2 linked regions of the Rhinolophus ferrumequinum genome follow. The protein of the gene in region 1 interacts with the protein of each later gene in a pairwise test. Links are inferred from orthologs where the notes say so. Each region holds a gene or a part of one and is shown on either strand. Other genes may lie near its edges. The genes, in order: GAD1 and HAAO.

The links.
Region 2: the proteins of GAD1 (region 1) and HAAO interact in a two-hybrid assay, tested with the Homo sapiens proteins (4 studies listed by BioGRID and IntAct). The two-hybrid records come from large-scale screens. The link is inferred for Rhinolophus ferrumequinum from reciprocal best matches to the Homo sapiens genes GAD1 and HAAO.

The regions. Positions count from the first base shown.
Region 1 is NC_046291.1:53,438,061-53,453,893, reverse strand, and holds the start of GAD1 (glutamate decarboxylase 1), read left to right. Parts: upstream 1-7,324; 5' UTR 7,325-7,806; intron 7,807-7,963; exon of another isoform or gene 7,964-8,164; intron 8,165-9,251; 5' UTR 9,252-9,314; coding exon 9,315-9,396; intron 9,397-12,358; exon of another isoform or gene 12,359-12,476; intron 12,477-12,722; coding exon 12,723-12,785; intron 12,786-15,833.
Region 2 is NC_046296.1:42,032,507-42,048,153, forward strand, and holds the start of HAAO (3-hydroxyanthranilate 3,4-dioxygenase), read left to right. Parts: upstream 1-8,051; 5' UTR 8,052-8,124; coding exon 8,125-8,204; intron 8,205-11,000; coding exon 11,001-11,079; intron 11,080-15,097; coding exon 15,098-15,181; intron 15,182-15,513; coding exon 15,514-15,620; intron 15,621-15,647. UniProt on the Homo sapiens protein: Catalyzes the oxidative ring opening of 3-hydroxyanthranilate to 2-amino-3-carboxymuconate semialdehyde, which spontaneously cyclizes to quinolinate.

The sequences.
Region 1 (15,833 bases):
ATGAAAGAAAATAAGAGGACAAACACTAAAAATCACATGTGCTAAATGGAATTAAAAGAATAGTTACGAAAGTTGTCTCACAACTTGCTAACTGGCTGCTCCCATTAGGCTAATTGAGGTCTCCGAGGGACTCTGACTCTTTGAGACTTCCTTCCTTCTCTTTTCTTATCTGATTCCAGGTGTAGAAAAGAAACTGATGCAAAATGACTGCCCACACTCATTCTGCAGTTGCTAGGTGCCTTCCAGATGGCCAGCTGAAGAGGTTAGGCATATATTATCTATTCAGCTGCAAAAATAAAACCCAGCAAAACATGCACTGGGTGGTTATGGTGTTCTAGGAACCCTTCTGTACTGAGAATACATTGGTTGAAAAACAAAAAGCAAAAGCACCCTGCCCTCATGAAGCTTACATTTTAATGGGGAAGAAAAGCAATAAATTAGTAAAGTATACAATATGTCAAGTGATGTAAAAAGTGTTATAGGAAAAGAGGGAAGGGCTAGGGAGTACTATGAGAGGGGGAGAACTAAATTTTAAATAGAAGGATAAAGCAAGGTCTCACTGAGAAAATAACATTTGGACATTTGAGCAAAAACCAGAACAAGGAGGAACAAATGCTTACAGATACTTAACGGAAAGAGCGCCCCCCACCCCCAAGAAGAAGAACAGTAATCGCAAAGTTGCTGCAGTGGGAGCGTGCCTAGAATGTTCAAGAAACAGCAAGAAGTCCAGTGTCACTGGGGCAGAATGAGGACTTTGTCACAAAACTGGCTCCCTTTCACCCCTTCTCAGATGAGTCTGAATATTCCATCAGAAAGTTTTCTCTTCTAGCAATCAAAACTTCTCGGTGGGTTAAAAAACCTAAATCACTAAGGGGAGTGCCTCAAATCTATGTCAGGGGATGATCAAGCTCTTCTGAAACAAATGGGCAACAAAATAAAATGTTAGGCTTAGCTTATATGTCCAAGGAGAAAACATTTAAATGGATCAAAATCATTGGTGAACTAAGGAGGAGGAATGGGAACAGGAATAAATATTTATTGAACACCATAAACAAGGCACAGTTGAACTTTCTAACGTGAGTCTTATGGGCATCAAATAAGATAGCCCACAAAGTTGATACTAGCCCCCATTTTACTGATGAGAAAATTTAGATTGAGAATAAATGATAGTGGTCAGTAGAATCAAGATTTGAATTATCTGACTGACTTGACAGTTTTTGCTTTTCCTCCTGTAACAAGCTGCCTCGAAGAACTCAAGAGGTCCTTAAAAGGAGTCCATAGCATTCACAACATGAGAAGATGGTCCAGTGAGCAGAGTCACAAAATACTATCACTAAATTATTTCAGATAAATGAAGGCTTACCTGGTCTCCTCTGATAACCTACCCTCCCATTATGGGAGTCCAGAGAGATTAAGTGATTTTTCCAAGGTCAAATGGTTATTATTTGGCAAATAAGGGGAGGAGGCCTCAGTGAGCAGTGTACAGGGCACTGGGGCTGAAGGAAGTCCCCTTTCAGCTCACTTCTCAGTGTGTGGTCTGGAAAGTCCTCTGAAACCTCTCTGGATTTTAGTTTCTTCATCAGCAAAATAGAGGTGATAGTTAAATGAGAATTCATACAATAAACACCTAATTTCCATGTCGTATTTCCGAAGTGAGAGACACACAGAGAAAGAGGTCTCTAATGTACTCCACTCCCCTCCACCACCACCACCACCAGGAGGCCAAACTGGGCTGCCTATGCCAAGGTATTTCTCTAAGTCTCACCTTGGCTCTCCCTGGCCTGGTGTCAGCTACTACCACAAAAATGCATAACACATCACCCCAAAACTCATGGGTTTGCAGTTAAGTTCCATTCCCGTGGCCAAAGTAAGTCACATGGCCAAGCCCCATATCAAGGGGTGGGGGTTGGAGGGAGTGGAGTATACAGTCCTGATCTGTGGAAGAGGGAAAAAAGTTATACCAGTTCAAGTGTCTTTGACACTTGTCCATGATTTGTCCCTGGCTATGAAGTAGAGACAGTGTGCCTATAGGCCCCAGTGAGAAGGTACTCGTTATTTAACCCTCATATTTAGGGACTGCCTGAAGTTTCAGGTTGTGCAGATCTAAAAGATTCCTGACTCATCCAAGAAAACAGGACCTCAGCCTTGCAGTTGAGAGTAAGATAGAATGAGCTCCAGATGACTAACTGCTTTGGGAAAACCCATGGTGTGGGTTTACAGATGAGAACTTTGTAAATAAATTCCAGTGAGCTCTTATACAGAGGTACCAAAACAAGGTATACACATTTTAAGAAAGGAAAAAAAAATATTAAAATTGTAATATATACCGATAACGAAAGATGAATACAAGTCATGTTTGACTTCTGCAATTACAAGAGGTGCTCAAAGTGCTTACCATCAGCGTCCAGACACTTCTGATTATGGCGAACTGCTTGAGTGTTGACTAAAGTGGTCCACTTGTATACCTCTTTTTGGCACCCCCTGTATGTAAGTTCTTTATATGAAGGGGACTGAGCTAGAGCAGCAGTGATGAATCCCCTCACGTTAACCTTCCAGTTTTCTCCCCTAAGTAACTGGCCAGGATTAGAGAATAAACCTGATCTGAAATAGAAGTTTGTTATCATATTCTCCACAACTAAGTCAGAACCTTCTCCTTAAACAGCAGTCCCAGACATCTAAGTCTGAAACAAGGGCTAAATGCCCGCTGTTTTAAATAGTTCGAGTTTTCACACTGAAAGAAATGGATAAAATATCACTATACCTAGCATTCCATTTCGTACTCTTTCACTAAAAGCATCTCATGGGAAATCACTTGCATCCCACTTTTTTGGGAAAGGACTGATTTTGCCTTAGTTTTTGTTGAGAGAAGAATTGAAAACATAGATATGTCCTAAAAGCTCTGTGTCAGAATTGCAATCCAGAGCTGTTATTTCCTTGGTCTCCAATTTTGCAGAGAAACACCTTGCCTAATATCAAAGAGTTCCCTTCCCAAGGCTACCTTGGAGGAGCAGCTCTGTGGGAAAAGGATACTCTGCACCCCCTTCTCTTTCACCAAAGCGACAAAGAGACTGAGTGTTTCAGGCCACTTCCAGCCCCAGCATTAAAAAAGGCCCTGCTTTGTGAAATATGGCAGGGGATGGGTGAACTGGAAAGGGCCTGCAGTTTTCCTTGAATTGCTCCCCTGGGCCCGTTGTTTCTCCTCAGAAATTATAATCTATCGCCACCTAGTGGTCCCTTTGTCTTCATATTTGGAATGGCAAGAATTGGGCGTCTAAAGATTTGTACATTTGCCCAAATACAAATCACTCTGTCCTCCTTGATTAATTTCTTTAATATTGGAATGTTTTCATGTTCAGAATGTCAAGGGAGAAGGGACTATTTGACTATTATCTGAGCAATTCAGCTCTCTTTTTTAGGAGAAAAGGTTGCAATTTCCGGAGTCCTCTCCAACGTTCTGGTTGGAATTCTGCCTCCCTCGCCACCCTTTTAACCCTTTCCTATCTCCCAGGAGTGAGTGTAGTGTGGTCTGTTGGGGTACCGGTGTCGATTTAGCCGTGGTCCCCAAAGTCCGGATTGATCTGGGGAGCTAGCTTTAGAGTACACAAACACACCGAATAGACCGTAGCTCCAGCCTAAGAAAAACCGAGTGTGAGGTTAACAAGGCTTCCCACAGCCCTCCCTGGTCTCGGGAGACAGACGTTTAAATGGTGATCACTGCCATTTTCCCCCCTTTTCTTTGGTCATAAATAAGATACTTAAAATAGACCTTAAATTGCCAGCTGAAATGAACCAATATCATGACTCTAAATTACCTTTCCTGGAGGCTAACAATACTAAATACGTCAAAAAAAAAAAAAAAGATTGACGTTTCTTGTTTACTCACCTTGACGTGGACCATATCTTACGCATAAAAATCTCCCCCGAAGCCCGTGGGGCGCCCCTTCCATGTCTTACTCACCCCCCACCTACTCCCTTTTTTCCTTTGCCGAAAGGTTGGGCTCCAAATCCAGCTGGAATATCTTTAAACCTCCCAGGAAAAGGGCATTGTGGGCGGAGGGTCGTGTTCCCAAGTTCCAGCCAACGTTGACCTAAAGGAAGGTTGTTCTTGCGGACAGGATCGAGTAGCCAGGGCTTCAGGCTCGCAATCCCCGGAGAGAGTCTGGAGGGGTCGCACTCGCCCACCCCTACTGCCTCTGGGCGTCGCGTTCCCGCTTCTTCAAAGCGCTAAACCTTAGATCAAAAGAAAACGAAACAGCTGGGCGGATACCACTCCCTTCCGGGCCATCCTTCATCGCCGGTTCGAGTCCCTAGAGAGGACATCTTTTCCACCCCCATTGTCCAAAGTATTTTCCCGATACTAATAAAAGATGAAAAAAAAGAATGACAAATATAAACAAAAAAATACAGATCCCCAAGTGTTCTGAAGAGCCAAAAGACAACCACAACCACCCTCCTTTTGATTTCTAATCGGGGAAGAGAGAAGCGAAATACTGCACCCCACCGCACTCCCACCAACAAGGGAAAACAAATACAGCAGTTACTGCCAGGGGTCGGGGTGGGGGCGGGTGGGAGGCGGGCGGCGTTGAGCTGGGTGGGTTGGCCAAAAGCTGGGGACGGAAGCGTGGACCAGAGAGGTTTCAGGGAACCTAACTGTGGGGGCTGTCCTTGGTGCTGAAAGAGCCGGGCCCTGCCTCCGAACTCGTGCTGAAACTGGGTGCAATTCCAGTTCCTTACTATCTCCGCTGAGCCCACGATTCTGGTTGGAATGAGAGATAATTGGAGAATAAATCAAAGCAATTAAGCCCCCAAGTCTGTTACTCTCCCCGCCTAGCTGGAATGTCAGCTCCATGAGTGCAGGGATAATGTAAGTTGCTTGGACAGTGTAAGCTCCATGAGAACAGTGTCTGGCACACAGTAGGTGATAAATAAATGTCCGTTTAATTAATTATTGATATTTAATTAAACATTTTTTTAAATTAAGGACTAGCCTTCATCCCTTCCCTCCCTCTCCATAAAGGAGAAAGGGAGGAATGTCCTCGCTCCTGGACCAGACTCAGCTTTAATTTGGGATACCTAGTCTTACAGGTAATTTCTTTTTCCAATGAGACAATTTTCTTGGCTACAACGTTAGGGGTGAGTGGTTATGGACACCGGGGTCAAAGAGGGAGTCATTGGAAATATCTCAATTTGATGCCACAGGTGAAGGTAAACGAATCTTCCTTTGAAAAATCTCGAGTCTTGGGAGAAGGTTGGGGAGACAGAGGGTGAGAGGGCGTCTTCCCCGCACAGCGGACCCCGAGGGGCGCCGGGATTTGTTGCCTCCTCCCTCCTGTCTCCTTACCCCTCGTCTTGAATGATTTAACACTGGCAACGGGTTCCCTGATTGGTGCAACATCTCTTTTAGAGAGGACAGAGGAGGGGACGAGGTGGAATTCCGAGCCGAGCCTTATGATAAACCTCGCGTTTCCAGCGTGGTGGAGAAGCTGGGAGGTGCAAGGTTCCAAGGGACATTTCCTGTGCGGAGTGGGCACACCCACCGTGCTCAGACCCAAGCTCCTGGCCTGGAGCTGCTGTTACCTCAGTTGAGGATGCTTTTGTGTCCTTAAAAAGTTCCTGAGCTTTTATTGTAAGGTGGAGAGAGGGCGACAGTATTTTCTTTAGTATCAAGGGCAACGCGGTTATTTCAAACCTGACAGCGAGATCCCTCTTACTGATCGGACTATATCTTCTCAGGAAGAATCTTCAATATCCCTTATGGAATTTTCAGTGATTTGTAAGATTTTCAGCATTACCACTGTGGTGAAAGGCGATAAGACATTGAAGGAGATGGGGAGAGCTTCGGGTGGACCAGCAAGGCCGCAGACATGCCCATAAATAACCCTTGCCTGCTGCATCGCAACAGGGAAAAAAAAAAAAAATCACTGTGTAAACGGGAAAAGCAATCGCTGGTTACAGGGTGTCATCCAGACACAAAGACCAACTTTGTTTTGCCTTAAAGTAAACGAAGTTGAGGTAAAGAAAAGGGGAGAGCATAACTTAGCAGGGAGGGTGGCTGAGGGATGGACTGAAGGGGCAGGAAAGGAGCAGCCCCGCCCGCCCCTCCAGGTGTAGGCTCTGGCGCATCAGGAAAGACCAGGCTAGTACAATGCTTCTCGGTCTCTGGGCGCCTGGCGCCCTCTGGTGGAAATTTTTCCGTGAACGCTTTTTTGTGAGGAAGGACTTTCTGAACGCGGCAATTCATTAAGTATGCTTAAATACTGCGAAAGGAGAATCCTTAAAAAGCAAGGGCCCGTCCGTACACGCGCGCGCGCGCGCACACACACACACTGGTCAACTCTGTGGTCAGGTTTCCCGTGGGTGTAGAGCGGCGCTAGTGCATGTTATTACCTTCAGATATGATCAATCAGGATTACTTCTTTTCCCATCACCAAGGGGACTAAAGCCAGCGAGGAATAGAATGAAGAAATAAAAGGGAATCACTATAGTCAAGCTGCTAAATTACTAAAATCAAGTAGGTTGAGGCATGAAGAAACAATCCTATTCTTGTTTTAACTAGCTTGGGAACTTAAACTTTTTAACTTTCCAATCTTGCGTCACTGCCTGGATGTACATCAAAACCTGCAGATAACCCTCTGGTTACCCACTGAAGGACTAAGAAAAGAACGTTCAGGTATCCCCACCATCTGATTTTCATTATCCAGATCACCTGACATCCATTATCCAGACCACCGGTCATCTGAGAAGATTACCATCTGGGACCAATCCAGAGGCTAAGGATGCAGAACTGATTCTTCTCAAGAATGTGTACTATAAGAACCCTCAGCTTATCTTTCTTCATGGGAACACTCTAGGTATTACCTAGTTTTGTTTCCAGTGTGCAAACCCTAAGACCCTTGAATAAACCGTTATCATTTATTTCTAGCCAAAGCCTCGATTCATTTACACCAGGTGCACAGTAGGAGGGAGCACAAAGTGGGTGGGAAACTGGACCCTTTTCTCTGCCGTGGCACTGGGTAGCTGTGCTCAAGTGAAGTGCTTTGGGGAGGCCTCCAGCTGGATGAGGAAATAAGTACAAAGAAGATGGAGATTCCTTCAAGGGTCTAAGTGTCATTCCCCGCCCTCCTGCTTCCTTTGCTTTTACAACAATCCTGGCTCAGTAGAAAGCCAGCGAGGACACAGCTGTCGCTCGAGGAAGCGTGGCGGGGTCGCAGATCTGGAGGAACGGCGGGGAAAGAAATTGAGGCAATACCACTGTTCTTGTCTTCTCCAATATATGGGGACGGGGGGAGGAGAGCGAGGAAGAAGCGCTCAGGGAAGCAGAATTCTTCATAGGAATTATCTTTTCCCTCCTCTTACCCGACATTGCCTATTTCAAAAAACAGAACGTGTTGAGTACGTTCTGGATTACTCATAGGGCCCTCCCCCCACCCCCTCCGGGCGCAAAACCGTGATCTGGATTTATAATCGCCGTATAAAGCTCCGGAGGCGGTCAGGCACCTGCAAAGTAGCCCCGCCACAACGCCGACAAGCTGCCCCCGGGAGCTGCGGCCTCGTGATTCCTTCGCCGAACGGGTCCCGCCTCCCCACTCCGCCCCCGCCTCCCCCGAAGCCAAGCAGCCGCCTCTCCCGGTCGCTCTCTTCTCCTCCGGGCGCTCGCGTGTGGGACGGTGATAGTGGGAGCGAGGCGGCAGCTGGAGGTGACGCCGGGCAGATAAAGCCTGTGGCAGGGCCCGCCGAGCCAAGCGGATCGCTGAGCGCTGCGCAGAGGAGCGGCAGGAGCGCTCGGCTTACTGTGGCCGAGCCCAGGTGGGTAAGCGCATGGCCGCCCGGACTTTCCAGAGCCCAGCCTTAGCGGTTCAGCTGGGTCTTCTCCACCCGCGGTTTCTCCGCCAACCCCCATCTCCGGCGTCCGCCATCTACCCTCCGCAGCCGAGTGAGTGCCGCCCTCCTCAGTCCTGGCTCTCCGCTGGTGCGCGGCTCAGAGACCCCGGCCCTCGCACTCATCCTGTCCCCACTAGAGCGATTCACGCCTCGGGGATGCAGAGAGGCCGAGGCTCGCGCAGAAGTGGATCGAAAGCGATTTTCTCCTGCGCTTCCTGGCTGCGAGCGTCCGTCTCACCTGACGGCTCTGGGGCAGCAGCAGCTGAAGGCGCGACTCAGAGCGGTAACCTGTTACTTCCTGAGAAGCTGCGGTCTACCCGCTGCCTGCGTCGCTGTGCGAGTGTGCGCGCGGAGCTAGGTGTGGGGTCTCAGGGAGGGTGAGGAGGCGGTGGGCCGCGGGCGCTACTCCGCTGGATCTGAGACCTTCCCAGATTCGACCGCACGCTCTCTGTCCCGGGGCCTTCGGACGCCATCGCGCCCGCGCCGAGCGCTGAGCAGCGGCGCTGAGCACCAATCCTTATCTGCTGTCTCCCGCGCCCTGGGCGCAAGTTCGTTTCCCCGGTGACGTTCCGGGTTCTTGCCTCCCTCACCCACTCCGAGTCTGTGCTGCGAGAAATCCGGGGACCTCAGAGAGTTGGGTGGAGGGGAAACACAGAAACCTAGACCAAGCTTCATCCCAGGCTTCGAGACGGCTCATAGTGGGGTGGGATAAGAGAGACACGAGCGAGGATGCGACCCGCTGCTTTCTGGCTGCCAGGCTTGCAAAGTGACTGTAGTTCTTTCCCTGCCAAGTCCGAAGGAGAATTTAAAGATCTGGACCCTCACCTTTTCCTCTCACCTTGTCTCACCAAAGTCCTCGGTCTCCAGAGCAGTTAGCCTCCTTCCCAGGGAATTAGCCAGACACAACAACGGGAACCAGACACCAAACCAGACGTGCCCGCCCCGTGCGCCCTCCCCCCGTATGCCCGCCGGCCGGCTGCTGAGAACCCAATGGGGCTTGTCGCGGCTAGGCTGGAAAATCGCTCACTGAGCCTCCCTTCTCCTAGCCCAGTCCCCCGCACCCTCGCGTCCTGCACTGGCCTAGGGCTCCTCTAGACTCAGCGCTGCGCTCCAGGTCGCCCCGCTGCTCAGCCAAACTGGAGAGCCGCCGGGGACTACGTTACCGGCTCGGGAGTCTCTGAGCTCGCGCGCACGTCTCCTCCTCCCCCCTCCCTCGCGCACCCCGACCCAGCCGGCTAGCTGCCCTTCCTCCCACCTCTCTCTCCCGAGCCTGGACTTCAGGAGGAGCGCCCGCACTCCGAGCACTCAGTAGCCTTTTGCACGCCGGACCCCGGAAGTCCTCCCCACACAGCTATCGCTTGTCTTTACAGCCTGTTCCTGCGCCTGACGGGCCGAGGACCCCAGACTGCAGAGGCCCCGGGACCACCGAGCTCATGGCATCTTCGACCCCTTCTTCGTCCGCATCCTCTTCGAACGCGGGAGCGGATCCCAATACTACCAACCTGCGCCCCACAAGTAGGTCCTGTCCCAGTTTTCCATCAAATCGACTGCGAGGAAGGTGGGGGCGCTGGGACGTGTGGAGGCTACGCTGGCGGAAAGGGAAGGAGGAGCGCAGAGATGATGGAGGCTGGAAAGAAATGGGGCCCTGACCCGATCCTGGCCAGAGGTCGTTCTACTGACAGGGATGCTAGGCGATTTGGGGGCGCTGGAGAGTGGGAACCGTGAAGGGTCAAAGTGGCAGCGATCCTTGAGGGCTTAGGTGCGAGGGAGGCTCCGGCGGGGAGCGCGTTGTTTTTGTTGTCTTGTGTGTGGACTCTTTGCTTGGTGGGACGTCGAGGGTCAGGGTAGGGGATGGTGTGGGGAGCCCGGAGTCCCAGCGGGAATTGAGTCTTCTGTCTCCTGCTTTCGTTGGGACGAGATTAGACCCCCCTCCTTCTTTCCCCCTGCGCTGTGCTTGAAGTCTATAATCAGCGGAAATTTCGACGTTAATTGCAGCTTTTAGAAAACTCGGGGTCCCTAATTGCTCCAAATTTGCGTCGAGCTAGTGACGAGTGAGGGAGAAGTCAGAGGCGAGAAGGTGCATAAAATGGTTTGAGATGGAGCCTCGACATTTTAGACAATTAATTACATCTCAGAGACAAAAAAGAAAAAAGAGTGGGCAGCATCCTGAGTGATGAGAGGTGGGGAACCAGGAGGAGGCCAGAAGGTTTGCCAGGGCAGGAGAGAGCACCCCTCTCTTTTCTCCCGGGCAGGAGACCTGTCAGCAATTGACATGTCCCAAAGAGGGAGGAAGAAAAGGGGAACTAGATAAGGGGGGGGGAAGGAGATTTATGCTTCCCCACCTCTGGTTCAGTGCGCTTCTCAACCCTTTTCACAATCTCTTTAATTCAGATTGATTTCCTACTGTTCTGTGGAGGCATGGGGAAGAGAGAATTGTTTTTCTTTTTCCAATTTGGCTTGAAATGTGCCTCCCCCCAAATCTATCAGCACCAGCTAATAACCGCCCCCAATTTTCTATATAAGTGGGTCTTAGGGATGGCAGTGTGTTTAGGAGGGCTTATTGCTTTGCTTTTATGGCACTTTCTATAAGCTTGAGAAAACGTTGATTGTTTCCATCAACGAAGATGGGGAGTGTTAGGGGGTAAGACCCCTTCTCCCCCCAACCCGTTGGCGCTGCCACTGGCTCCCAGGCTGGAGGCCTTGTCTTAAGTCCTTAGGCTGCATTCCAATTCCATTTGCAGCTCCCTCTCCCCGCCCCCCAGGCGAGCTACAATTACCCAACACAACAAAGAGGGGCTCGGGAGAGCCGCCAGTCCTGGTGGCACGTGAACCGGGCACGGGCTGCAGAGCTGGTCGGAACAGGCCGGGAGGAACGAGAGGCCTGCTCGCCTTTGTCTGTTGCTCCGGTCTTGATGGATTCCTTCTCCAGTCCTCTCAACATTTCCCGCCCCTCTTTTGCTGTCTGGTGGGGCTGGGAGGCCGTTGTGTTCACCCATCCTTGAGTCCTGCACCCCCACTGCCAAGCCACGCTCCTTCTTCTTTCCCGTTGCAGCCAGAGGTGGAGCGCATGTGCCAAGCCCCAGGTCCGAGACCCAGTAGAGGCTTTGACCTGAGTTTGCACATGACCTGGCGCGACCGGAAGCCTCCGAGGCAGAGGGAAGATAGTCGAGGACCCAGCTGGGAAAGAGCATGCAGCCACTTGTCCAGAGAACGCTGTCGATGGTCCCCAACCTCCCAGACTGCACGCTAATGTCGGGCTCTCTGTCCACTCTCTCCCTCTGTTTTGCAGATTCGTCCTCGCTCTCCCAGCTGGCCTCACTTCTGTGCCCCTGCAAGGTCTCCTAGGAGGTGGCCTTGCCCAATCTACACAACCATATTCCGCCACTTGCGCCCAGGACCCCTCCTTCTTGCTGTCCCTCCTCCCCTTCCACTCACTACACCAAAAGGGCTTTCTCTGTACCTTTTGCCATCTCTCTTTCCCTTTCTTTCACTGTAATCCCCAGCTCTGAAAGGCAGAGCAATCAGTCTGAATTTCAATGCCCTATCTGAGTGACCTTGGAAAACTTGCTTAGCCTCTCTGAGCTTCAAGGTTCTTATTTGTAAAATGAGTCTTAGGTTAGCATTCTTGTTTCATAAGGTTGTTATGAAAATTAGCTGAGATGGGTGTTTAAAGTGGAAGCTCTTTATCGGGTGGAAATAGCTCTTTACCAGCTCGGTATTATTATTAGGGTTTTGCTTTCGCACCGATTTCCTGTCTGTTGCAGGAACTCCATCTGTGACCGCCGTCTCACTGAGTCGCGCTATTTCTTCTCCCCGCTGGGGTTCTGTTGTGCCTCGTTTTAATGGATGTCACTCTCCTTATCGCAGCCAACACTCATGCAGGGCTGAAGGCACCGGTCAGGGTTGGATGGGGGATGGGAGTGGTTGGAGGAGCTTTGCTTTGAAGGATCCCCAGGGAATTTCACGCTCGGCCCGCCACAGCAGCTCACAAGCGGGCTCTGCGGGCACCCCTCAGGCTCCTTGCTGGAAGGTGAACCCCAAGGGCAGGATAGACCCTGAGGAGTTTGAAACTACGGCAGGGCCAGGGGAAAGGTGCCTGATTCCCTTCGCTTTCGCCTGCTCCAGACCCGAGATGTCGAGCGAGGGAAGGGTTAATGAGGGGCAGGTTGGAAAGAGGGGGCCAGGGAGGAGGAGTGGGACTCACACTATTGTCTTCCCGACTCCCCGGTCCAACTGAAGAGCAGCCATGCGAGCCCGATCATCTAGTCAAATACTATTTTTCACCCAATTAATTCCTGAACTCTTCCGCGACCCCATTTCATGCCAGTTTATTTTAAGCTGCCACTCGGCTGGAGACCCGCCAAGAAATTATGAGACGTGTTGGTCCCAGATGCCTCTGTGTTCCCTTTCCGGGCTGCTGTGGTTGCCCTTCGAGTTTGCGGGGCAGAGACCAAGGGGCAGGGCCTGGCGGGTGGGTATTGGGCAACTCCAGCGGCGGAGCGTGACCCTTTGCACTTGGGTTAGCCTGCCTCACTCGGACGCTGCCTCCTCCCGGCTCCCTCGCGTGGGTTGCTTGGAGTTCCGGCGAGGCTCTGGTGCGTCGCCTCTCAGAGATACCGTTCTGTACCTGAAAGTGGGAGTAGGAGGGGTGTGTGAATGGGGACTAGGAGGGCACGAGTCTGCTCGTCAGCCCACAGATCTGGCTCCTTGCTCCTTTCAGGAAAGAGAATTTAATGAGGAGTACAGGCGAAGACCTGCCCCACCCTCCCCAGAAAACCTTTGCCCTCAACCCTGTCCCTCAGGCTCTGAGCCTCACTGATCGCACCTCTCTTGCTTTCTAGCGTATGACACCTGGTGCGGTGTGGCTCATGGATGCACCAGAAAACTGGGGCTCAAGATCTGCGGTAAGCGAAAGGGCCGGCTGGGGCCCGGCAAGGTGGCGCGTGGCAAGCGGGCTTGGAGGGTTTGGGAAAGTGAGACGCACGTGGAAGGAGATCCCGGCTCTTGGGGATGATTTTCCTAATGTACCTGCAGCCCTGATGCCTGGTAGAGACACCCTCCTCTACAGGCCTGGACCCTCTTCTGCCCTCCCCCGACCTAGCCCCAAGGGACCATCTCCAAGGCTTCGGTCCGGGACTACCTGAGACCGTGGGGCTCCCTCTGGGGTGTCTGGGCACGAGAGCTCGAGCACAGCGGGCCCACCCGGGTGTGGCAGCGGGGCTATTCTTGTCCGGCGCGGGGCGGTTCCAATCCTTACGCTCTGCGGGTGTCTAGAAGGTTTTGTAGAAAAGGTGAACTAGTCTGGCTTTCCTGGCTCATTATCTGCCTAAGACGGTGGCTGACATATTGTCCCCCTTCCCTCTCTACCATCGCGCGTTGAAAGTGGCCTCTCTGGCTTGAGATTTTTTGCCCCGAGATGCCATAACGGATTTAGATTTTGTTCTTTGTGGCCTCGAAGGACGGATTTAGATTTCGTTCTTTGTGGCCTCGAAGGCCAAGAGAAAGGAATAGCCTGCACCCCCGATGGCCTACCTGAGGGAGATGCGGGCAGCACAGGCCGGAGGGTTTGCGGAGCTCGCCTTTGAAGGAAAGGAGGTGAGGGAAAGGGAGCAGGCGGGGGCGGGGGGCCGCAAGAGGGAAAGGGGGAGTTGGACACGATTTGCCAGAGGAAGCGAAATAGATCTGGGAGCTGGAGAGGAGAACAGCTCTCCGGAGACGTGAAGGTCTGAAATGAAAACGCCCAGGGAATGTAATTTTTTTTTTTTTAAGGAAAAAAGGAGATTTGTTCGAAGGGACACAGCCGAGTGGCTCCGGCTGAACAATGAGGATTTGCTTTCCTTGCTACAAGTCACCGTCTAAAATCTCTAGCCTTATCGGGCCAGAAAATACTGATGTCCCCCGGCAGGCGGTGGAGAGGCGGGGGAAGATTAACGAGGGTCTTATTAAAGAGCCATCCGTCAGCTGCTGTGCGCTGGAGATAGCAGCAGAGCGGACACCAGGCAAACCCGCCCGCCACAGCCCAGGAACGCGCCCCCGAGCCATCAGCCAGGGGGTGTGCTCTGGGCCTGATCTTCCCAGCTTCCCGGCTTTCCTGTGTCCCTGGCCCAGGGCAGCGGCAGTTTGTGGTCGGAGCAGAGAGGGGCTATTTAGCAGCTTCTGGGAACCATCCTCCCTTCCCTGAGCGGCCTGCTTCTAGGGCTCTGTCCCCTGGATCCCGGAAGCAGCATTTACTGTGAAGAAGGGTTGCTCAACTCCACACCTAGCCATTTTCCAAGGAAAACCCCGCCCTGCCTCGCCCGGGTTTGACCCTCTTTCCAGCACGCGAGGCCGTGGGGCGAGGCCGGGTCGCGGATCTCGGGGGGCTGGGGCAGCTGGCAGCAGCCGGGGCTTTGTTCTATAAATAGCCCCCTACCCCCGCCGCCATTCCACGCTTAATGGCCCGTTCAGCGCCAGGTCCCTTCGGCTAGGCGCTGGGCTTCAGCAGCAGTCATTGTCATGCAGCCGGGCAAGCAGAACTGAGCGAGCCCTGGGCACCCTCTGCAGTAGAGAAGAGGGTGGGGGAGACTTGGGGTAAGGGCTGTTTTCCCTAAGGTCCTGGGCCTGCCGGGGGTGGGAGTGGGGGACGCAGTCATCGTCCACCCGAGTCCCCACCTCCTATCCTCAGCACAGGCGGTACTCCCAGCTTCCCAGACTGCAGGCCCTCGGAGTCTGTGGGAAGAAAAGGTCTAATGCCCCCTTTGAGGAAAACCAAAGCGGCCGGAAAGGGTAAAGGGGCAGGAAAGAGTTGAGCTTCTCTGGATCCCAGAATGTCGGTCTCCGAGTTTGCATCAACTTCTTCTGAGGGAGAGCTCTTGGGCATTTGGGGCTACCACCCTCAGAGAGTTTCTTCTCGGTTTCTACCCCCCACACTAATTTCAGGAAAGTTGCAAAGCAAAGTGACAGGAGAAGAGGGCTGGTACTCCATTAAGGGGAAATTGCCTTCTGCTGAAATGCTTGCTTTTGGGGGCTGCAGGTTAGGAGGCTTCATATGAGGTTTGATTCTGAAAGAAAAGAAAACACCAGGAAGATATATTTTCCGTACTTTGGACCAACTCATTTTAATCTAGAGGAGGCAAAGTGCAGTCTTTGGTTTTGACCTGAATCCACAGCCCCGTCCACTCCTTTCATCCCAAACTTTCTGTGGCCTGAAGGGTGCCCTCTGTGACCTGACACTATTTGGGGTTGGTTTGACCTTTCACCTTAAAATAGCAGAGGGACTAGACTATGGTCTTCTTCCCACCTCCTAATCCATTGTGGTGATACCGCCCCCACCCCCAAACTTCTTCAGTGCCTTGCCAAGATTCTCCCCCCACCCATTCTCCTACCCCTTCCCTGGAACCCCTGGGAATGAAGCTGCAAGGAAGATCTTGGGTCTCAGCAGTGGTACCCTTAGCTCTGGAAGCAGAATCCCCTGAGAGAGTAATCAGCTATAAGAAATCCTGGGTCTTGTCAAGAGGTAAAGACTGGGGTGGCTACCGGCATGGTGGCATGACCCAAATGAAAGGAGAGGCAGAGAGTCGAAGTTCTGGCTCGGGGCTCTGCTAAATTCCCAGCGTGTCCTTGGGCCTCCCTCATTTATCTATGCAGAGGTCCCAAACTGGCTGCCAGTTACAGCCTCAGCTCTTTTATTTAGCCCATGCAGTGTGTGTGTGTGTGTGTGTGTGTGTGTGTGTGTGTTTAATTTTGTGTCAGTTGCCAACTTTTAAACAGAGACTTCAAATATGCTGTATTTCTGGCTTCTCTTGAAATAAAAAAGGTGGAGTAGAGGAGGTCTGGCGAGCACTGTTAGTTAAAAATCAGAAAAAGATCCCCTTCCTCTTGGTAGATACAATTCCATACTACAGCTCAGTGAGAACAGGAGGGTTGGGCTTCAGGCCCCATTTCCCCTCTTGGCCACGTGTTTTTATGCCATG
Region 2 (15,647 bases), on another chromosome or scaffold:
ATAGAACTAGGATCACTAGAGAAATGAAAACTGGGACCCAGCTACGTTGGGGTACCCGAATGCCTCAAGCCCCCCCCTTCTGAGAAGATAGGGTAGTTCCTCTTTCAGTTCTGGCAACAGTTAAACCCGAACCTACTGGACCAGGTACAGGATGGCAGGTCTTAGAGATTAAGCATAAATAATGACGGTGTTTTCCCTTTGCAAGGAGGAAGAAAGAGTTTCAGCAGAGGCAGCCATGGACCTCAACTGTCCTTAGGTCAACTGTCCTTAGGACTCAGGGCTGTCCTTAGGTCAAAATTTTCAGGTAAGCAGGAAATCTCACCCTGTAGGGCTGAAGAAAGACAAGGAACTGGAGTAAAATGATGTTTGTTTATATCTCTGTTTAGCCAACAACTACTGAGGGCCTTTGATAATATCCCTTTACACATATACACCGTAGCTGGTTTAGCCTTTTTCCTATTAATGGCCATCTTGGGTTATTTCCTGTTTGAAGCTATTATAAATAAAGCTGCTAACAGCATTCTTTTACAAGTCTTTTTGTTTTCATTTCTTTGGGGTAAACTCAGGGTCATAATGTAGACTTAGGTATAGTTTTAAAGCACTTTTTATTTTAGTAAAATATACATAACATAAAATTTGCCATTTTAACCATTTTCAAGTGTACAATGCAGTGACATTAAGTACATTTACGTTGTTATGCAACCATCACCACTATCCGTCGCTAGAACTTTTTCATCATCCCAAACGGAAAATCTGTACCCAATAAACAATAACTCCCTCTTCCTTCTCCCCTCAGCCCCTGGTACCCACTATTCTACTTTCTGTCTCATAGGTACTTCATATAAGTGGACTCAGACAATATCCACCCTTTTGTGTCTGGCTTATTTCAGTTAGCATCATGTTTTCAAGGTTTATCCATGTTGTAGCATGGGTCAAAATGTCCTTCCTTTTTAAGGCTGAATAATATTCCATTGTGTGTACATACCACATTTTGTCTATCCATTCATCAGTTAATGGACACGTAATGTGCTTCCATCTTTTGACTATTGTGAATAATGCTGCTATGAACATGGGTGCACAAATCTCTGTTCAAGTTTCTGCTTTCACTTCTTTTGAATACATACGCAGGAGTGGGATTGCTGGATCATATGGTAATTCTGTTTAATTTTTTGAGGAAACACCATACTGTTTTTCATAGCAGCTGCACCATTTTACATTTCCACTAGTTATGCACAAGTGTTCCAATTTCTCCACATCCTCCCCAATACTTATTTTATGTTTGTTTGGGTTTGTTTGTTTGGTTGGTTTTCCCTTTGGAATAGTCATCCTAACGGGTGTGAAGAAGTATCGCACTGTGGTTCTGATTTGTATTTCTCCAGCGATTAGTGATGTCCATCATCTTTTCATGTGCTTCTTGGCCGTTGGTGTAACTTCTTTGGAGAAATGTCTATTCAAATATTTTGCCCATTTTTAAATCGGTTGTTTGGTTTTCTTGTCATTGCATTTTAGAAGTTCTTTATATATTCTTAATATTAATCCTTTATTAGATACACAATTTGCAAATATTTTCTCCCATTTTGTGGGTTGCCTTTTCACTCTCTTGTGTTCCTTGATGCACAGAAATGTTTTATTTTGATGAAGTTTTATGTTTAGTTTTATAAGAAACTGCCAGACCCTTTATTTCCAAAGTAGTTGTGCCATTTTATGCTCCCACCAGCAATGCTGGATGTTCCAATTGCTCTATATCTTTGTCAGCACTTGGTGCTGTCAGTCTTTTTAATTTTAGCCATTCTACCGAGTCTGTAACAGTATCTCATTGTAGATTTTGTTTGTATATCCCGTTGTGTCCTGCACAACAAGAGTTGTGGGGAGCGAGAAGGGCAGCGCAGGGTTAAGAAAGACTGTAGCCAAGAATAGAGTGCAAGCGGAGCCAAGGGACTCCAGTCTCAAAGGACTGAGCCCTGAATCGGGCCAACACATAGCTTTTATTGATTAACAAATGAGGAAGTTAAGCTTGTTAATCTCAAGATCCGTGAATTTCCCACATTATACTAGGAAACCGATTCAAACCAATCACCCTTGCCTGCAGACAGCAGAACTGTAAGTCTCAGGATGTATGTACCTCCCCAAGGGACAAAACCTTTATGCATATGAATAGATGGAGAGTTGGTATTATCACATCATTGAATCTCTTCCCAAGCAGGATGTGGGAAGGAATGTAGCCACAGAGGCAGAAGCTCTCCTTAGCCGGGGGAAGGTGGGGGTCTGTGCCCACCTCTATCAACCCCATGAGTTCTCCTGATGGCCCCTATGTGACTGTGACTGTCTTAGGTTGTTCCTCCCTTGAGGACTCTTACCCGTCATTGACTAACCAGCCATCCTTTGGGGCCAAACAAGGAGACATAAGGTGTAAGCACAAAGGTGAAGCGAAGTCCATGAAAGGATCTGTCTCACAGACTCACCTTTCTTTAGGAGTAGGTACGAGGGGACAGACGGGTAGGTTGCTGCGTGGCAACATATTCCTGATGACTAACGGTGTTGAGCATTTTTTGATGTACTTATTGGCTATCTGTATATCTTTGTGAAATATTTGTTCAAATCTTTAGCCCATCGTTTTGTTTTTTGGGTGTTTTTTTTTTTCAGTTTGTTTTACCTTTGGAGGTTTTGATCATGTTTTTATTAAGTTGTAGGAGTGGCTGATATGTCTTAGTTTCCTCATCTGTAGGTAGCAGGTATGAATTACGCCATGACACCTGGGCTACAAGAAATGCCAAGCTCAGCGGCCATCCAGTGTCCTGAACTCATAAAAGCCCACATATGTCCACTTCTATCCAAGGCATGTGGGATCATGCCAGGAAGAATAATGGAGTGGAGGGGAGGGGCAGTGGGGACTGTCTAACACAGTGCAATTTGAAGGAAGGAAACATTCAGTGGTCCTTGGCAAAAAGAAGAAAGAAGAACATGAAGCTATAGAATATCTCCATGGGAAGAAGGAGGGAGGCAAAGGAGGGAGAGCCCACACTGCCCTGAAGCCAGAGAAAATGGAAATGCAGCTAATACATCAGCTAAACTGAAAGCTCGTAAGAGAGCTGGCCTGAGTGTCTCTCCCCAAGGTCCTTCCACCTGTGAGGTGACAGGGGGACAGAGCTTCCTGTTCTATTTGCAGAGAGCCCTGAAAAGCTGACAGTGACCATAGCACTCAGCTGTCCTTCCCTGCCCTGTCCGTCCAGTAGGGTCTTGGCTGAGGTTGCAGGCTCCATCCCAGGACCAACAGCCACTTTTGATCACATTAGAGAGGCAGTATATTGGAGGGCCAACTGATTTTATTATCTGATGTGCCCATCTTAGAATCTAACCCTCCCTGAGTTACAAATCACAACCATAAACAAATCATGTAACATACAGAATTAAGCTTATGAAAGTATATTAGTCAGGAGACAGAAACCACATCCATTATTTAACAAAAAGAATGTAACACAGAGAACTGTTAACTAGGTTTAAAGTTATTAACTAGGTAACTGAAAAGTCAAAAAAGAAAAAAAGAAGAAGAATTCTGCAGGATCACAGAACTAGCAACTGTAAGAAGCTGCTACAACCCCTATGGCTGAGGGAACCTAAGAAGAAATTGAATTACTAAAACTTGGAAGTTTTAGTAATAGGGAGACTGTGAAATTGAAACCCAGTCGCTGAGAGGGCACGCCAGCTTCTGGTATCACTTTAAAGCTGATTCTGCGAGAACTGGGAAAACTGCAAATTGGATTTAGAAACCACGAAGGGAAGGATCCAAGATGATAAGCCCAAGAACCATAGGCAGACAGGGGACAAACAGGACGCAATCGAGAAGGAACAAGTTCCTTCTTCCTCCTATGGGGCCTGATGGACCAGCTGGTACATCATACATGGAGTTTGCAGAATCCCAGACCTTGCATCACAATGCAGAGCATAGAAAGTGAGTTTCAGGCTGAAAGGCAGGAACTTAATTACTGGCACAAAGAGCTTAATATCATACAGAATGCAGCCACCCTGCAGGCAAAGAGGAATGTTTTGAAATAATCTACCCATCCTCTAGTCACCCAGAAATGTGAGCGTTGTCTTATAAGGAGACCAGACCAAATGTCCAAGCATCTGCCATATAGATTTTCCCTTTATTACTTCCTTTGGAGGTTTTAGCTCAGTGGTTCCTAAGCTTTCATGTCTAAGAATTATTGCAGACTGTACTTTACATAAACTGCTTGGGTACTTAGATATAAAGAATTTTGTGATTTGATTTTAACTATATTGAACTTTTGTTTTACTAACTTGAGAATCAAATCCCTAATCCCCCAACACCGCCAAACACTACAGTCCCTGGAGTCAATCGGGGCAGAACTCTTTAACAAGAAACATTATGTCACAGTAGAAAAAAGCACAGGTCTCGATTCCAGTTAGGCACAGGTTCTTCATATTGATACCTCTACTTACCAGCTGTGGACCTTTGGGGGGCGCTAGTTCATACTCTGAGCTTGGGTTTCAGTTTTCTCATCTGTATGTGGAGATTAAATGAGAGAATGTATGGGGATTAGCACAGAGTCTGCCATGTAGTAATCATTCAGTAATGGAAACCAGAGACCGTGTCACTGCTATTATTGTCATAGTTAGGCTCCTGAGACCTCACACCATACTCTGATCCGAGGGAGAAATTTTTCTTCAATGATTACTTGAAGAGAGAACTGGCTAAGAGAAGCAGCGGTGAGTAGCAGCAGGTCCAAGTGTCAAGAATTTCTCAATAGTTTCCACTGAGTTCCCAAAGAAGTAAGCATGGGATTGAGAGTATAAGAGTGCTGGGACCAAAAAAGACCGACAAGAGCAAACCATGGTGACAATGTGGAGAAATCAGAACCATCACACATGGCTGGTGGAAATAGAAAATGATGCAGCCACTTTGGGAAACAGTCTGGTGGGTTTTTGGTTTTTTTTTTGAAAGGTTAAACACCAAATCCAGAAAATGAAAGATATAAATAGAAAATAAATAAATACGTAAACACACTAAAGCACAGGAAGAGGACATCTCAATAGACCTGGAGCTGAACCTTCAAGGAATGACTAAAAGAAGGCAAAAATTAGATTGAAGAAGGAAATCTCAGCCCCAGTGCATACAGGATCCAAGAAGAGAGTCTTCCCAAGGGGACTGGGAGCAGCCATCAGACCCAGGGGTGCTTCAGACCCAGGGGGTGATGAAGATGTGAGAGGAGATCCAGGAAGGACTGCTTGGGTACTTAGTTGGGGCACCGAAGCAGGAGCAGGTGGTCCATGGCCCCCATGCATCCCTGTCTTAGCCCAGGAAACTGTGATGGGATGTCTGTTCCAGGTGGGAGGGAGCAATGAATGTGGGAGTTTAGAGCAGAAAGACAAGGCAGTACCTGGGATGGCGAGGATCACCCAGGAGAAACTGGGAGTGCCCAAGCCCAGGAGACCAGCTGCTGAGATACCCTACTTAGTGGCAGGTCTTGCCTACACCCACTCTGAAAATAGCTCGGAGTACAACTTGTGCTTCTTCACCTCAGTGGGCTCTGCAGAGACAGCCTAACAAAGAACGTCCACCATAAAGATGACCTTGCCCAAGGATCCCTCAAATTTTGATTTGAGAAAAAGCAATATCATCAAAAGAGATGAGCCAGAACCTTTCCCAGACTCCCCTGAGGTTAGGTGAGAGCGTTGACTCAGTCTCAGTTTCCGCCAGTGGACTGGGGCACAGAAATGTGTACACTACTTCTGGCCAGATCTGGCCTATAAGTACCTCCACTCTCCCTTTTCCTCTTTCTGCCGGCTGGATTTCAATGCCCAGGGTGATATTGGAAGTTACACGATGAAGGAGACAAGATCCTGTGTCAACTTCTGTCAAATCAGGTCCCTAAGTGTGTGGGGGAAGTGCTGCCTCCCCATTGCACTTCACAGGAATGAGAAGTGAACTTCCATTGTGTTAAACCACTGAATTTGGGATGGGTTCCCCCCCCGTTACAGCAGCTCATAGTATCTTCACTGATAGAGAGTTTACAGTTTAAAACAGTTTCCTTGGAGAAATAAGGGAGTGTATCACATCCATAAAAAGAAGTTGTAGGAAGGAACCAATTAAAGACTTTGTAAATAAAAATATGAAACCATTGAAATTTAAAACTCAGTAGATGAGCTGAACCATAGACTACATCAACTAAATAGAAAAACAGTGAACTGGAAGATTAGACAGAAGAATATTCCCAGAAGGCAGTCAAATGGTGCCCAACACTCAGGCCAGGAGGCTTGCCAGTTGAATAGACATGGTGATTTATTTACGCAGCACAAACTAGAGGGCAGATTTGACGGTGACTGTACAGCAGACTAATTAGCCTGTGGCTAGGATTCATCTGGATAATTCAGACCCCAAACATTCACTTGTGACCTCAACTATTCATGTTATTTGACCAGATATATTAAAATACAGAGTAACTATCGTTCTTTCCTTTGTACTATGCAACAGAACATCTGTTGAGCTGAACTCATTTTTTTTTCTTGCCTTTTACTGTGAGTTCACGCATGCCTTTATCCACCAACCCACCCATCCATCGGTTTAACAAACATCCACACCTAGCACATCACAGATCCTGGGTGTTTCACGTGTCGCTGCTTAGATTTCCACCGATTACTCATAATGAGAAAGACAAAAAATATAGTTTGAGTTATTTTGATGCCAAAGAATATTCTAGAAAGAAATGCTCAGTTGAAAAGTTCTAAATGAATAATTAAAAAGAAAAAAAGAAGGGAGAAAGGGGAAAAAGAACTCGGAGTGGAGAGGAAACAGGAGGGTCCGCCCCAGCAAAGGCGGGCGGGAATCTTATTTCCTATCAGTCTGGGTTGTGATTTGCATGGGGGCGTCCCCGTGTCTGGGGGTGCTGAGAACACCAGCCTACCCCAGGCAGCAGGGAGGGGGCAAGACATACTGGGGTGGGGGTGAGCAGGAGTTGGAGACATTTCTAATTTCTTGAACTCTGTAGTCAGGATTCTGGTGCCCGACCCGTTCTCCCCCACCTACCAGCTCTCCACCCCACCCTCCACCGACACACACGCGCAATTTTCCTAAGAATTCTGAGTCCGGAAAAAAGAGAAGCGAGCCGGTGTCGATTGCCCTTCCCCCTCCCCCGCACTCCGCCCGTTTCGTCTCCTTCACACCCACACACCAGGCCTCTTCTGAGCCCCCGGGGTAACTGGGTTAGAGCCTCTCACACGGGGTATAACACGAGCACAGGTTTGTCCGCCCTCCCCACCCCCGCACACCGAGAGCTCGGTGCTTCATCTGTAAAACTTCTCATAGAATTGTCGTGAGAGCCCTAAGACACCGAAGGAGCTTAGAACAGTGCCCGGCAGCTTGACCCTGTCTGTACCCCCCACCCCACCACCACTATTACAGGTGAGCGGACCGCGCCCTCCAGCCCGGCCCGGCGGGTCCCTGTCGTGCGCCGGGGACCCCGCAGCACTGCGCTCATGGTCTCTCCTCGCGTCCTTCCTGAACCCGTCACCCAGCCAAAATCAGGGCAGCCAGCGGCACTCAGTAAACCTGGGGGTTCTGGCCTGACTCCATCCTCGTGACAGGGAAGATAACCTTAATCGGGTCTGCGGTGGCCGCTCCACAACCCTGAGATGACTTCGTCGACATTCCCAGATTTCCGATGAGGAAATTGAGGCTTCGATCCAGTGCCAGCACCCCTGGACTCAAGTGCTCGGGTTTCCAAACCCGCCTGCTCTCCACTACAGTATTTCTTAGAGGCCCAGGAGGAAAGTCTGGGGACAAAGGACCAGGAAGGTTCTCGATGCTATGTCTTACGCCTGTCTCAGGCTCCCAACCCCCGAGCGGGCGTGCGGAGCGCCCCCAAATGTGTGGCAGGGCCGAGCTGGTGCCTGGAGGGGAAGCGGTGGGGTGGGGGGCGGTGCCGGGGCACTGGGACCAAAGGCTGACAGTGGCCACCGCGCGAGTCCCCAGCCCCGACATCGGGGTTGCCCCGCCCTTTGACCCCTGGGATGCTGATTAACCGAGGCGGCCAATAGGCGTCTGGGCGGAGACGCGCCCCTCCGACGGCTCCAGGACACCGCTCAGAGCACAGCTCTGGGGAAACCATGGAACGTCCCGTGAGAGTGAGGAGTTGGGTGGAGGAGAACCGAGCCTCATTCCTGCCCCCCGTCTGCAACAAGCTCCTGTGAGTCCCAGGCTTGCCCCCCTCCTCCTGTCCTCTGTCTTCACCTTCTTCTCCATCTGCATCCCTCAACCTCCAGGTCCGAGTTCCCTGACCCAGAAGCGTGCAGAAAGGGGGGCTGTCGTCCTCATAGTGTATTCAGGGCGGGTGTTCTGTTTCCACCACCTTCATCTGTTCCTCTTTCGAGTCTGCTGTGGAGACTGTGAGCCTGACTTCTGAGGTTGGCTGGGTGAACTGAGGCTAGGGGAGATGCAGATGGCAGGTGGCAGCCCTGCCCCCCAGGGCTGAGAAACAGCTCCACCCCACAGCAACTCTCAGAAGTTTGGGGAGGGTGGTTTTCCATGCCCCAGAATTGCAGTAGGACCCAGGTCTGGGGACAGCCCAACCACACACCCCCACTCCTGTCTAGGAAGCCACAGTCAGACAATGAAGTCAGAGGGTTGGTCAGCTCCTGTAGGAGGATTTGGATTATTACTCTTCCCAGTTTTCATCTTTGCTGGCAGGCACACACACACACACACACACACACACACACACACACACACCAGCTATCTCTATCCATAGCACCCCACAGAGCTGATGGTGGTCCAGCTACCATGTTTCCCCGAAAATAAGACCTAACCGGAAAATAAGCCCTAGCATGATTTTTCAGAATGCTCATAATATAAAATAAGCCCTACTGTGTTTCCCCGAAAATAAGACCAGGTCTTAATTTTTGCTCCAAAAGACGCATTAAGGCTTATTTTATATTACGAGCACCCTGAAAAATCATGCTACGGCTTATTTTTCGGTTAGGTCTTATTTTCAGGGGAACACGGTAGTCTTTCTCCAGTAGACCCCTCAGGCCCGCCCCTCTGGCCCCTTCACCTCACTCCCCTTCCCTGGGCTCCTGTGGCTTGGCCTGCTGTGCTCCCCAGCCCCAGGCCCCAAATCCCATGTTTGTTGTGTCCACAGAACAGCTCCAACCTCAAAGCACACAACTGCAATCCAGAGACTGTGCTCAGTGCTTTTACATCATCTCATTCAATTCTCACAGTAGCCCCAGGAGGTGGACTTTTACAATAAGTAACTTGGCCAGTGTCACAGAGCTCAGGCAGGACAGGGTCCAGACTCAAGCCCATGCAAGAGTTTGACTCCAAAGTCCACACTCTTGGTCACTGCCAGGGCTAACAGCCAGCCTCTCCCCAAAGCTTCGTCTCTCCCACCACTGCCGTCACCCTCACCTCCTTCCTCACTTCAACCCTGTCCACAGTCTCATTCTCAGTCCTCCAGTTTCTCCCTCAGCCGTGTCTCATATCTACCTACTCCTCTCCAGGCCCAGGGCCACCGCTCTGGTTCCGCGCTCTTACATCCAGCCTGGGCAGTTCGGGCCTCCCCTGTCTCACACCCCCCACGCAGCCCTCCAGCGCTGCTCCAATATTAGTAATCTCAAAACGTAGGCCCTCTCTTTAGTCAATCAGCAGATGTTCACTGAGCACCTGCTACATGCCAGGCACTGTTCCGGACACTGGAGAGACAGCAGGAAACAAACTGAAAAAAGTCCCTTCTGGTGGGAGGAGTCAGGCAATAAGTATTAACGAACAGGGGGTGGGAGGCTGCAGGAAGACCTGGTGGCCACGGGACAGAATAGGGCTGTGGTTTTACTCCCATGTTGGCGAGGGTTGTGAGGGAGAATCTGCTCCAGGCCTCTCCTCACTCCGGGAGGTTTACAGGCGATCTTTGCATTCCTTGGCTTCTGTGTCCTGATCTCTGCCCTCATCTTCATAAGGCATTCTCTTGTGTGTCTCTAAATCTCCCCTTTCATAAGGACGCCAGTCGTATTGGATGAGGGGCTCATCCTACTCCAGTATGACCTCATCGTAGCTTAACTGACTATGTCTGCAATGACACTCTTTCAAAATCAGGTCACATTCTGAGGTACCGGGTGTTAGGATTCCAACATATGAATTTGGGGCAGGGGGTACATATGAATCTGCTGAGGGTTGTGAGCAGAGGAAGGACATGACCTGGCTTATGTACTCTGACTGACGGGCTGAAATAGCTCTTGAGTGAGTTCATTCAAGAACTTTCCATATGTACCTAAAGTGTATCTCGGTAAAGATGACTAAAAAGAAAAAAATATATCCCAGGCTCCCTGGCACCCCCTGAGGCCAAGACCAAACTCCTCGGCTGAACTCTCGAGGCCTGGAATGACCTGGTCCCCGTCTTGATCCAGCCTTCTCTCTCACTCCCCAAGACCACTCCCACACCACCAGGACCCCCATTGCGTCTCGTCTCAGGGCCTCTGCCCCCAGCTTCCTCTTCCACTTCCTTCCTCAAGTGCCTCAGAGCTTTAAGCCCAGCAGTTTGGGGGGAACAGACAGTCTCATAGTCAGACAGCTCTGGGGCGTGGGGGGTAGATAAAGGTCATTTTACCCCTATAGGAAGTGGGCCTTCAGTTTGCGCTCCTGTGTGTGGAGGTCTTGAGCACAGCCCAGGGATGCTGATTGATGAAGAGACAGATCCACCACCACACTGTTCCCCCTACTGGGTCAGAGGATGAGGGGGACACACACACTCCAAGACACAGACATAGAAAGACACAGGCACGTACAGTCACAGACAGGCACTCAGAGGCACGTGGGCACCCTGGGATGCGATTGGAAGGGGACAAATGTTGAAGACTGACAGGAACAACGATGCAGAAATAGCCCTGTTACCTCTCCCAGGTGTACCCAGGCTCCCTCTGGGCCCCCCATAGACCCCTCCTGTCTTCTCCCATGAGCCGCTTCAGCATCTTTTCCCCCACATGCTTTGCAGGCATCAGGAGCAACTCAAAGTCATGTTCGTCGGAGGCCCCAACATCAGGAAGGATTACCACATCGAGGAGGGTGAGGAGGTAGGCCTGCAGACTGCCCCTCCCCTTACCCCGCCCTGGGAGCAGAGGATGGCTCCCGTAGGACCAGAGCCTGTGGACAGAGACGGGGTGGTCAGATGGCTGATGGGTAAAGGGCGCTCAACTGAAATCACAGGGTAATATTGTTGCCTGGGAGATGTGAGCACCCAGTGACGCCTTTGACAGCTCCATCTTCAGAAAGATCTCAGCCTCTGCAGGTGTGAGAAGCTCTAGCTATTGGTCTCACCCCCTGGACATGGGCTGTCCATGCTCCGGTGGGATGCCCTGGTCCTCTCTCACAAATCTGAATATGCAAGATTGGCCTCCAAAATGAGACCCAAACATTGGGAGGGACCTGGATGCTCCACTCTGGTCTTGGGAGCCAAATTCTCTGGGCAGCGTTGGGGCTGGGAGGCCCATCCTTATGTAGAGGGCACAAGACACATCAGTTGCTAGAAGCTATTGGAGAGGAGGCAGGTAGGAGGGGAAATCTGCAATTTGCACTGAATATCCTTTTGTACTTTGAATTTTGGATTGTGTTTCTATTCTACCTACATCAAAGTAAATAAACAGAAGAAAAATTAAAAGAAAAAGATGGGCCCTCTTACAAAGGGACACAGATGGGTTTCCAGGTATCAGATTCTCTGGTGGCAAAGGACCAATTATGGGGCCCCCTACCTATCATCCGGGGGGGCCTGGTACTGGAGTTCAAGGTCCAGAGTCCAACTTGGTCACCAGCCTCCACCCCCACTGCTGGCGACTCAGCCACAGCTGGGGGCGCGGGGGGACTGAAGGGAGCACGAGAGAATCACTCACTCAACAAATGTTTCCTGAACACCTAATGTGTGAGGGGCAGAGGGGTGAGGCCCCGGGCCAGCGGGGACAGCGCTGCAGAGCAAAGCTGGTCAACCCCTCCCCTCTCACACTTCCAGGGCCCATACCTCCCCTGGCCACCCCTTCTCACAACCCAACTCACTGGAGGCCATTTTCCTCTGGGAAAGAAAAACAACAGGAAAATCCAAAATAGCAAAGAGGAGACTGGATAGGGGAGACGAGGCTGGATGCAGTGTCTCTCTTGCCTGCCTCAGTCAGCTTCGAGCCCCCCATCTTGTCTTTCACTCTGTAACCCTGATCTCATGGCCCACTTCTCCTGTCTCCCTCCCTCCTTCCGTCCCTTCTCGCCCCTCTACCACCTCTGTCCCATGCCCCACCCTGGGGCCTCCCCAAACTGCTCTGGTGGATGGGTGTCCACTGAGGGACCCAGGCCAAGCCCTGACTGAGCAGGGAGGCTGACAGATGAGGAGGGCTGGCCTGAGCAGGTGTCCCCACTCTGGAGGGTGGCGGGGAGGAATTTGGCTAGAGGTGGGTTTGTAACAGCCTGGACCCACCCCTGAGGTGAAGGAGAATACCAGCCACAGGCCCTGGAAAGCCACAAGGCAGGGGGTCAGCCTCCTCTCTGTCCCAGACTCCATCCACCCTGATGAGAGAGAGAAGGGGAGTCACTGAACCAAAATTTCCTCCTTGCTGAGCTCAAGCCTCAGCATCAGCCCTTCAGGTGCCCCAGCTGCACACACCACACATACCTCACTTACCCCAGTCCTTCCCTTGGGGAGCATAGGTGTGGGGTGGGGGGTGGGTGGGGGGTAGCCTGGGTTGGGAGTCGGCCTCTTCCTAACCATGTGACCTTGGACAGGTCACAGCACATCACTTCTCTGAGCCTGTTTCCTTGTGGCACATGGAGACACTGGCCCTGCCTGGTGGCGCACAGTAGGTGCTTAATACACATTGGTTCTCAGCCCCCTCAGCCCCTTTCGAGCATAATTCCTTTTGGATTGCCAATGGCTGTTTGGATTTTCTATTGTTCAGGATCTGAACCTCTGCTCCAGGCCAGGCCTGACCCTCATCACAAGGAAAGCCTCTAGGCAGAGAGGCAGGACTGAGAAAAATTCCACCTCCTTCCCATTTTTATTGGATAGCTGCTAACACTTTGTACCTTCCGGATAGGTTTGAATCTGCCCACAGCATCAGACCGCTTTCCCTGATATTTGCAAGGCCCAAGGGCTATGTCCCCCTCCCTAGAACTTTCTGGGCCCTTCCTCCTCTCCCAGTGCCGCGGGAAGTGCCCCCCACCCCACACATACACAGGGGCTTCCTCCCAACTGGAGGTGTGGGGGTGGGGTTGCAGAATTGCTCCCTAAGAGAATCTGGTAGGTATTTTCTTGTATGTTTTAAACATCTTGCATGGGTTATTTCCAATAATAAAAGTGAATATTGTTTTTTTTGTAGAAAACATGCGAAATATAAAAAAAGACAAATGCATCCCTCATTCATAATCCCACCACGCAGGGAATCCCAACACTGTGAACGCTCCCTAGGTTTACACACTTATTGCCATGTAAGTAGAACCCTGCTGGGTATAGTTTTGAATCTTGTGTTAACATGATAACTTTAGCATTTTTCATTTTCCCACCTTATTAACAGTTATTCAAAAATCAGTGGCTGCATAATATTCCATATTTTGACTGTCATAAAATCATGACATTTCCCCTCATTATTATTAGCATTATTTTTGCTATTCCTGCCATCACTAATGTTAATAGCTCCTGGCCTACGAGTGCTGACCCTGTGGCGGGTACATTGCGTAGTGTCCCAGCAGACTTCACAGCGACATTCTGAGTAGGCACTGTCATTTTATAGATGAGGAAAGGGAGGCACAGAAAAGCTAACTGAATTGACCAAGGGCACATGGTGACCTAGCTGAGCTGAGGGTCAGGTAATGCTGGAATCTGGGCTTTTAACTGCCATGCAGGTGACGAAACAGCCATGTATGTGCACCATGAGGCAGGTGCCTGTCTGATTCACTGCAGCCACCTCCTAGACACGGAATTAGGTGGTAGGTCAAAAGCATAAGGTGGCCACTGTCCTGGTTTGTCCTGGACTTTTCCAGTTTCAGCACTGAAAGTCCTGTATCCCAAGAAACCCCTCTGGCCAACCCACAGGGGTGTGAGCTGTGAAAGTTCTTCCTGCCTGTGGCCAAATTGCCCTTCAGAAGAGTTGTGTCAACTTGTCCCTCACGCAGACCACATTGCTCTAGTTTCCCTAAGCTTGGCTTGATTTCTCTTAGTAGATGCTGTGACAAGAACCTCTATCACCTCTAACTCCTTACATGATAATAATATTATTATTAACACCCCTTCAACTATTTGGCTGTGGTTTTAACATTAGTGTAATGTGTGACTGGTGGTGAAAAACTGTGCCTGCCTCCTTCTCTTCCCAGCTCCACTGGGTGATCTCAGCAAACACATTAATTAGGGACTTAGGACAGAAGAGGGAAAACACGGTAGGTGCCCCCTCCCACCCCACCCCACCCCACCCCAGGGAGGCAGCAGGAGGAGAGTGCTCCCATCCCCCATAGCTCCCGGCATCACTGAGTCCCTAGTTTACATGGCCAACCTCCAGAGGGACTTGAACGGGCACAGCATCACCGTTGCCAGAGGAACCAGCACAGGCTCCAGAGCTACATTCAGACTTGGGTCCACACAGGGGCTCCAGAACTAACTCTGTGACCTTGAGCGGGTTGCTTTACTCTCTGAGCCTCAGTTTTCTTTTCTGTATTATAGGACTAATAACATCTTTGGACGTGGTTGGTAAGATTTCGGATCATGTATAGGAAAGTGCTTACACAGCCCCTGGGACACAGTCCATGGCTGGTTCTCCTTACCTGCTGAAGGGTCACTGAGTTCTCCAGTGAGCAGCTCAGCCAGCCTCCTGCCCCCAAGCCAGATACCAGCTGTCGTGTCCTGGCTTCTCTGGTCATCACTTGCGTGTCAAGATGTGATCCTTGTGTGTTCCCAGCACTCCCGTCTGTGGCATGTGGCAGGGGAGGGTGGGGCCTCAGGGCAGGAGTGACATTGCTGCTCCTAAAAGCCCAGGCCTTCAGCACCTTTCTCAGGTTTCCCAGTCAGAACTCAAGAACCTGGAAGAGGGAGGATCCGAGCCTGTCTGCTGTCCTGTCCCACAGGTGTTTTATCAGCTGGAGGGCGACATGGTTCTCCAAGTCCTGGAGCGAGGGAAACACCGGGATGTGGTCATTCGGCAGGGAGAGGTGAGGCTGGGCCCCCGGGGTCGGGAAGCAAAGGGCCACCGAAACAGGAAGCCATCCTGCCACGCATCCTGGCTTTGGTGGAGGTCTTATCCCCCTGCCTTTTCCTGCCCTCCTGCCCACCCTCTCAGCTCTGGCCCCATTCTCTGGCACTTTCTCCTCTGGGCTGCCCTATCCTCATCACAGACTGACATTCTCTCTAGTCAGGGGAGGCCGGGCAGAGAGCTGGGCTGAGCTGGACCCTGTGGGTCAGCTGAGAAGGACAGGATGCTGCACGCCCTGAGGTCTCCGTGGGGGATTGCAGCCTTGTTGGCACCTTGTCCCCACAACTATAGATATTCCTCCTGCCTGCTGGGGTCCCCCACTCTCCACAGAGGTTTGCCAACACTGTGGGGTTGGTGATTGAGCGGAGGCGGCTGAAAACCGAGCTAGATGGACTCAGGTAAATGGACCTTGTCTGGGGATCTGG